Macaca mulatta: one gene and its partner. The protein of the gene in region 1 interacts with the protein of each later gene in a pairwise test. Links are inferred from orthologs where the notes say so. Each region holds a gene or a part of one and is shown in the gene's direction. Other genes may lie near its edges. The genes, in order: UTP14A and SMYD1.

Region 1 (3,817 bases):
ATAGTAAAGAGAGAAAGCTGTAAGAGCATGGCTTAAGACTCAGAATGTTTTGTTGCTTCTTTAAGGCAAGAACTCCCCTGGAGCAGGAAATTTTCAACCTCCTCCATAAGAACAAGCAGCCAGTGGCAGACCCTTTACTGACCCCCGTGGAAAAGGCCTCTCTCCAAGCTATGAGCCTGGAAGAGGTAAGTGTGTCATAGGCCCTTCACACCCAGGCATGCCACGCTTCTCCTAGCATTTGTCTTCTGGCCCAGATGTCACTGTAAATATCATTTGTTGTAGGCAAAGATGCGCCGAGCAGAGCTTCAGAGGGCTCGGGCTCTGCAGTCCTACTATGAGGCCAAGGCTCGAAGAGAGAAGAAAATCAAAAGTAAAAAGTAAGGAGGCCCCTGTGAACTGGCCTTTGGTTCCACAGAAGAAAGTCATGTGGCTCATCATAAATTCTTTGGAGAGAACCTTTGATGCGGCAACTGGAGTCATGTAGATGAGGTCCCAAACAGGCGTGACTAGCCTTTTGTTCCCCACAAACCAACCTCATACAGTTTTGCCAAAAAGAGGACTATTCAGTTACTTTCTCTACCTTCCAAGGCATCACAGAGTGGTTCTGCAGAATGAGCTCTGAATTCCAGAGCTGTTAAGGCCAATAGGGCTTCCTTCCTGCCTTTTTGCCTGTTTGAAACTTGTTGGCCACATGTGGTGGCTCATGCTTGTAATCCAAGCACTTTGGGAGGCCAAGATGGATGGATCACTTGAGCTCAGGAGTTCAAGACCAACCTGGGCAACTGGTAAAACTGGCTGGGCACGGTGGCTTATGCCTGTAATCCCAGCACTTTGGGAGGCTGAGGTGGGTGGATCACTTGAGGTAAGGAATTCAAGACCAGCCTGGCCAACATGGCAAAACCCCATCTCTACTAAAAATACAAAAATTAGCCAGGCATGGTAATGTGCACCTATAGTCCCAGCTACTTGGGAGGCTGAGGCGGGAGGATCGCTTGAACCCAGGAGGTGGAGGTTGCAGTGAGCCAAGATCACATCACTGCACTCCAGCCTGGGTGACAGAGTGAGACACTGTCTTAAAAAAAAAAAAAAAAAAAAGAAACTTATTCTACTCCTCCCTTGAGTTATAGAGGCAAAGGAGACTCTTTGAGCCACAGAGGTCTACCCTGAGGACTGTGGGTACCAAGAATCCTGCCAGTCCTCTCAGGTCCCAAACTGACTCCCTATAGCCAACTAGCTCTATGATGCCCGTTCCAGCCCCCTGCCTAGGGAACCCATTGGGTAGTATGGGCACTTGTGCCTATGACATCCATGCTTCAGCTAAATTGCTGAACTCTTCCCTCCTACCCCTCTTACCCTACAGGTATCACAAAGTTGTGAAGAAAGGGAAGGCCAAGAAAGCCCTAAAAGAGTTTGAACAGCTGCGGAAGGTTAACCCAGCTGCGGCACTAGAAGAACTGGAAAAAATTGAAAAGGCCAGAATGATGGTGAGACTACCTCTTGCCCCACCCCCACCCCTTTGAACCAGCTTTCCTTGGAAGCCACTAAAGGTCTAAATCTCACTCTGTTCTTTCTTTCTAGGAAAGAATGAGCCTTAAGCACCAAAACAGTGGGAAATGGGCCAAGTCAAAGGCAATTATGGCCAAATATGACCTGGAGGTAAGAGACCTTTGGGGTGAGAGAAGATCTGGAATTGGAGGATGCTAGCAGAAGCAGAGTTGGGGAAGAGCCATGAGGATGGATGGAAAACCAGGAATCTAAAAAGGCATCAGAAAAATCTCTAAGGCAGAAAGGAAAATGACCAGAAACAAGGTGGAAAAGGAGAGATGAAAGGGAAACAGCATTGAAGGCAAGTCCAAAGCGGGAGAGGAGCTTTTTAAAATCTTATTTCACCTGTTGATTCCTTGAAGACAAAGAATTTGTCTTCCATTTTATACCACAGCTATTAACCCAGCATTGTATATGCAGTTTAAACAGTAGGTACCAGTAAGAAATACCAAGTCAAATCGAGAGGAGGCAGCTTTATGAAATGGACCAGGAAAGGTATTATTGCAATCACTAATGACAGGGCTCTCATGCTGTGACTCTTTCCTCCAGGCTCGCCAAGCTATGCAGGAACAGTTGGCCAAGAACAAAGAACTAACACAGAAACTCCAGGTAGCCTCTGAGAGTGAGGAAGAGGAGGGAGGCACAGAAGAAAAAGTGGAAGAACTCCTTGTCCCTGATGTAGTGAATGAAGTGCAGATGAATGCAGACGGGCCGAATCCCTGGATGCTCAGGAGCTGTACCAGTGACACCAAAGAGGCTGCAACCCAGGAGGACCCTGAGCAACTGCCAGAGCCTGAGGCCCACGAAGTTTCTGAAAGTGAGGGAGAAGACAGACCAGTGGCAGAAGAAGAAATTTTGTTGAGAGAATTTGAGGAAAGGCGATCCCTTAGAAAAAGGTCTGAGCTCAGCCAGGATGCTGAGCCAGCAGGCAGTCAAGAAACAAAAGGTGAGCTGTGATCAAATGGAAGGGAGAAATTCCTAGTGCTGTGGACAGACTATGGGAGAAAAAAAAAATGTGTCCACCCACACACACAACTGCATAGTGATTAGGCTCTAGGGACTTGCAAGAGTGCATGCACTGGATCCCTGTAGAGAAATTACATTCATAACTACTCTTCTTTGAAGGCATTTAATAAGCACTCATCTGCATGGCCATGCAACGTGGTTCAGGCACATTTTCTGTTTTGGGGGGCTTACAGCCTTCGGAAAGCCATAATAACTAAACCATCCTTGAAGTTAGGGTGTGAGTTAGTGTTCCTGGTACCTACACACCAGGGAGAAGTACATATGGTAGAATGGCAAATCTGAAAGTCCATTCACACCTATAGGCACAGATAGGTCAATTTTGAGACATTAGGAAACATCTTCTAATTGCCGGATTTTTTTGTTTTGTTGGTTAAGTAGGAGTGGCATTTTTAGCATTTCTTAATTCTAGTTTATGTGTGTCTACATGGGGTGAGACTTTATGGAATGAATGACTCCACGGGGCTACATGGCAAATTAGAATTGTGACTCCATGCTCAGGCTCTATTTGTACTTTATATTTTCTACCTGTTATCTTGAAGAGATCTTATTAACAGTGTTAGCACCTGTGAGATTGGTCAGAGTTCCCATTTCTGGCAATAAACCAGGACACTAAAAAGCCTGCCTAGGAAAACTACCTACATTGAGAAATCACTTGGCTATCTGGACAAATTACCAGGTCTGGTTTGGTTCCACATAGGAATGCATTTAGATGACGGCAAAAATCTGGTTTTACATGGCAAAAAAAAAATTATTTTTTTTCTACTTTTTTTTGTTTAAGAGACAGGGTTTTGCTCTGTCATCCAGGCTGGAGTACAGTAGTACAATCATACCTTACTGCAGCCTAAGACCTCCCAGGCTCAAGCGATCCTCTTGGCTCAGCCTCCCAACTAGCTGGGACTACATGTATGTGCCACCATGCTGAGCTACGTTTTTGTAGAGACTGAGGTCTTGCTCTGTTGCCCAGGCTGGTCTTGAATTCCTGGCCTCAAGCTATCCTCTCACCTCAGCCTCCCAAAGTGTTAGGATTACAAGTGTGAGCCACCGCACCCAGACTCCTTTTTTTTTTTTCCTTTGTTTTTTTCAGGTTTCCACATACAAAAGTTTATTTTAAAAGAGCTATAATTTAGAATGTATTGTGGTGACCTTTACTTAATAGTTTTGGCTGGATATTTCTGGGATTAATAATTGCAAGCAGTCACTTCTGAGAGAATTTTGGAAAGCAGCACAGTGGGCTGAGATTGTTGGG
Region 2 (3,817 bases), on another chromosome or scaffold:
ACTTTGATGCATCTTAATTCCCGTGCATCGAAGACCCAGGAAGCAGCCTGAAAACAACCAGGCAAGGCTACTATGTTGAGGGGAATCGTGAATGGTATGAAGTTCTAATCCTGGCTCTGTCCCCAAAGTGCTGTGGGACCTATCCCTCTTGTGTCACTATCCTCATTTGTGAAATGAGCATCCCTGCAGCTCAGACAAACTAGGATTCTAAGCAGAACTGTGAGCAGAATCACCCGGCCTTCCTCTCCTACTGGCCTTTCATCACTACAGTAACCGCTGCTGCCGAAAATTGGGGTAAGGAACAAAGGAAAGGAGTGACAAATGGTGAGCAGGCACTTCAGTTTTGCAGACTCCACAGGAGTTGTTTTTATACACATTAACACATTAATAGGTGTGTCAGTGTATCTCACTTTGGGAGAAGGATTTGTATCCATCAGTGGTCACCTCAGACGCCTGGACATGAACGTCACTACCATTCAGCAGTTGCTTCCTTGATTGTCATCTCAGAGCACAGGGAAGGGGCTGCCTTTGACTGGGACTCTTCTTGGGTGCTGGAGTCTTGCCCTTGCTTTTGCGTGGTGTCTAACTGAGCCTTTCTGGGAGGTAAAAGAAATGACCATGGATCTCTGTGCAGGCACTCTCCCCAGCCCTCTGCATCCTGCCACTTGCTCTCTGGATGATGGCTTCCCACTAGGCAGGGAGGCCCCAGGATTCTGGGGAGGTACAGGAGCACGGTTTAGGACCCAGCTTGCAGGGCCCACCACTTGTTTTCTGTAGCTGTCTGGCCTTGTGGTGGAGGATGCATGGCTGAGAGATCCACAGGCTGACCTCTACCTGTTTGGCTCAGCTGGATGTCAGTTCTGCAGCAGGTTTTTACCTTCAACATCTTCAGTACCTATCTCATTAAGTAAGGTGGGTTGTGCTATAGGTAATTGAGGGTCAGGTCTAGGCTGGAAGGGAACTGAAATGCCATCTGCCCTTGCTAACGACCTTCAACCAACAAGCCACATCCCCCAATAAACACAAAAGTGAACAATGCAGTGAGCTAACAGAGCCAGCCTTTGTTTATTTGCCTTCAATGATCTCCAGTGGGCTAAGTCTCGTTAGGTAATTTGGCCTGAACCATTGGACTGAAGGTCAAGAGGTGACTTCGAGTTAGACACCGAATGAGCCAAGGTTGTGGGTAACTGAATTTTTATGTTTCTGAGAGAGTAGTCCCCAAACTAACCAGAAAAGATTTTCAAGTTTTTTCTTGTTTGGAGTTTCTGCCTTATTATTTCTCCTTCTTTTATTACAGACAATCAGTAGCTAAAAGTAAAGGGAGACTTATGGGCATGGACATTCTGTCTGGTTTTATGACCAAGCCCAGCTCTCTACTAGGAGTCTATTTGAGCTGATTCCAGAGCAGTTAACTGAATGGAGTGGATCGGACTGTTCTAAGGAGTAGAGTAGAACTATCCACAAAATCATCCTTTAGGTCACATTTCTCCTTTTGTGGAGTCAATGGGGGTTTCTGACTGCCAGTGAAAGTCATTGTCTTTGAGACCCAACTCCACAAAGCCTTGGAGGAGAGCATGGATCCCATTCCAGTAGGCCTGGATTCGAGCCACCTTTTCCTTTCGCCCTGCTCCAGAATTGAGCTCCGGGCCCTGGGCAAGATCTCAGAAGGAGAGGAGCTGACTGTGTCCTACATCGACTTCCTCAACGTCAGTGAAGAACGCAAGAGGCAGTTGAAGAAGCAGTACTACTTTGACTGCACATGTGAACACTGCCAGAAAAAACTGAAGGACGACCTCTTCCTGGGGGTGAAAGACAATCCCAAGGTACATGCAACCCTGCTGCTGAGGTATTTGTGTCCATATTCTCCAGGAGCCAGTCACAGGTGGTTTCACAGCTAATCAGTGTGCCTTGCCCATGAGCTTCCTAGGGAGCAGCTGTGACCCTGGGGAGGAGGCAGGGTATGAGAGCAGAGCACCGTGGGTAGGTCCCAGCTAAGTCCTGGCACTGCCACTTGCCAGGTGTTTGAGTTTGGGGAAGTCACCCAGTTTTCTCAACTGTAAAATAGGAATGATGGTCCCATTGCAAGAGGTTGTTATAAAGATTAAAGAAGATGATGTGTATAAAAGGAGTGGCATACAGAGCAGACACTGGAAATTTTGGTTCCTCCTGTTGCTCCTTTATGAGTTGAGGGATGTTGAGAATTTAAGGTGCTGAGATCAGATGGGCAAAGATATTTGTCATCTGGTTATGAAAAAGATATTCCTAGTCCCATGGGGATGGGCAGTGTGGAGACAGGGCTATGTTTAGATTGGTCAACATCCTGAACTCCTGGGTAACTGTTGCTAGTTGATGGTCAGTCTGTTGAGCAGCAGAAGAAGGCTTGCTGACGGGAGGTCAAGAGCCCAGCTGAGCTGGGAGAGAGCGCTGAGGCGCCAGGTGTCAGAGTAGCCAGTTAAAGCAACAGAGCAGAAGTGAGTGTGAAGTATTTAATCACTTACTGCAATAGTGTTAAGTGAGAAGCCAAAACCGAAGAAAGCACTGACTCTTCTTGTCCATTTCCTCCAGGGAAGCTGTGCTCAGGGGGAGGATGAGGGGGATCAGCACAGTCATGGAGGCATCTCACATGGCATTCTCTTTTATAAGGACACCAGTTATATGGGGTTGGGAGCCCACTCTATTCCAGTATGATCTCACCTTAACTAATTACATCTGCAATGACCCTATTGCCAAGTAAGATCTCATTCTAAGGTAGCTTCTGGGGCTAGACTTCAACATATGAATTTTGGGAGGATACAATTTTACCCCTAACACTGTGTATGCTACCATTTATGAACATTAAAAGGCACACACACACATGCACACCCATGCCCATGCAAGCATACTCGGTCTCCATACAGAAGTAGGAGGACCAGTGATGCCTGGGGTGAAGATATTGAGAGTCACCCTTCGCAGGAAGAGACAAAGCAGTTGGGGCCCAAGGATTAATGTTTTCTATAGGAACAACCTCTTTTCAGAGAAGCAAAGGTCTGTATTCTAGGAGATTTATATTGGATGTATGTGAGAGGCACTGAGCACTACATCATGGGCGCTACAGAGAAGAATTTGTTATTGCACCCACCCTCACCCCGACCTTTCAGAACCTGCAGAAAGCATGTCTTATCTGTGAGCCAGCCAGCCTTCCTTCCTGGAGACAGGCACTGAGTATTTGTTTCATATCTTGCTTCCACACTATGTAATTATTATTATTATTATTATTATTATTATGAGGCCAGACCCTCTTTTCTCTGTTCTAAAATAAAACAACCATGTGGTCATTTCTTTAGACTTTTTGATGTTTACCTGGCAGTTTCAATCGTTCAGAAGGCTATGTGTGACCTTTAGTTCCCATCCCCTCACTTTAGATATGCTGTTACCAGCTGGTGACAATACACACACGTCTTCAGTATGAATTGCAGAGTTGGCATTTCTCTTGATATAAAAGATTGATGATTTCAGCTTGAACCTACCTGAATTCAAGGCAAAAACTTTCTATTGTATTTTATATCAAATTGAGTTTCTCTATTAAAACAACTCAAAATAAAAATACCTATACTAACTGAGCAGGAAAAAATTGAGTATATCTTTTTAAAAGCAAATGCTTCCTCAGGCATTAAAAAAAGTCCATAATAATGTAGTAGGAAGAATACTGGAAGAAGAATTATGAGGCCTGTGTACTAGTACTGGCTATGACTCTAAACACCTGGGCTTGGCCAAGTCTCTTCCTTCTGGGCCTCAGTTTCCTCATCTGTAAAATGGGGAGTTGGACTAACTTATTAAC

The links.
Region 2: the proteins of UTP14A (region 1) and SMYD1 interact in binary tests that used the Homo sapiens proteins (3 or more experiments, as listed by UniProt). The link is inferred for Macaca mulatta from reciprocal best matches to the Homo sapiens genes UTP14A and SMYD1.

The regions. Positions count from the first base shown.
Region 1 is NC_133426.1:136,374,595-136,378,411, forward strand, and holds part of UTP14A (U3 small nucleolar RNA-associated protein 14 homolog A), read left to right. Parts: intron 1-65; coding exon 66-185; intron 186-282; coding exon 283-377; intron 378-1,360; coding exon 1,361-1,484; intron 1,485-1,578; coding exon 1,579-1,656; intron 1,657-2,094; coding exon 2,095-2,491; intron 2,492-3,817. UniProt on the Homo sapiens protein: May be required for ribosome biogenesis.
Region 2 is NC_133418.1:26,063,329-26,067,145, reverse strand, and holds part of SMYD1 (histone-lysine N-methyltransferase SMYD1), read left to right. Parts: intron 1-1,633; coding exon 1,634-1,823; intron 1,824-3,817. UniProt on the Homo sapiens protein: Methylates histone H3 at 'Lys-4' (H3K4me), seems able to perform both mono-, di-, and trimethylation. Acts as a transcriptional repressor. Essential for cardiomyocyte differentiation and cardiac morphogenesis.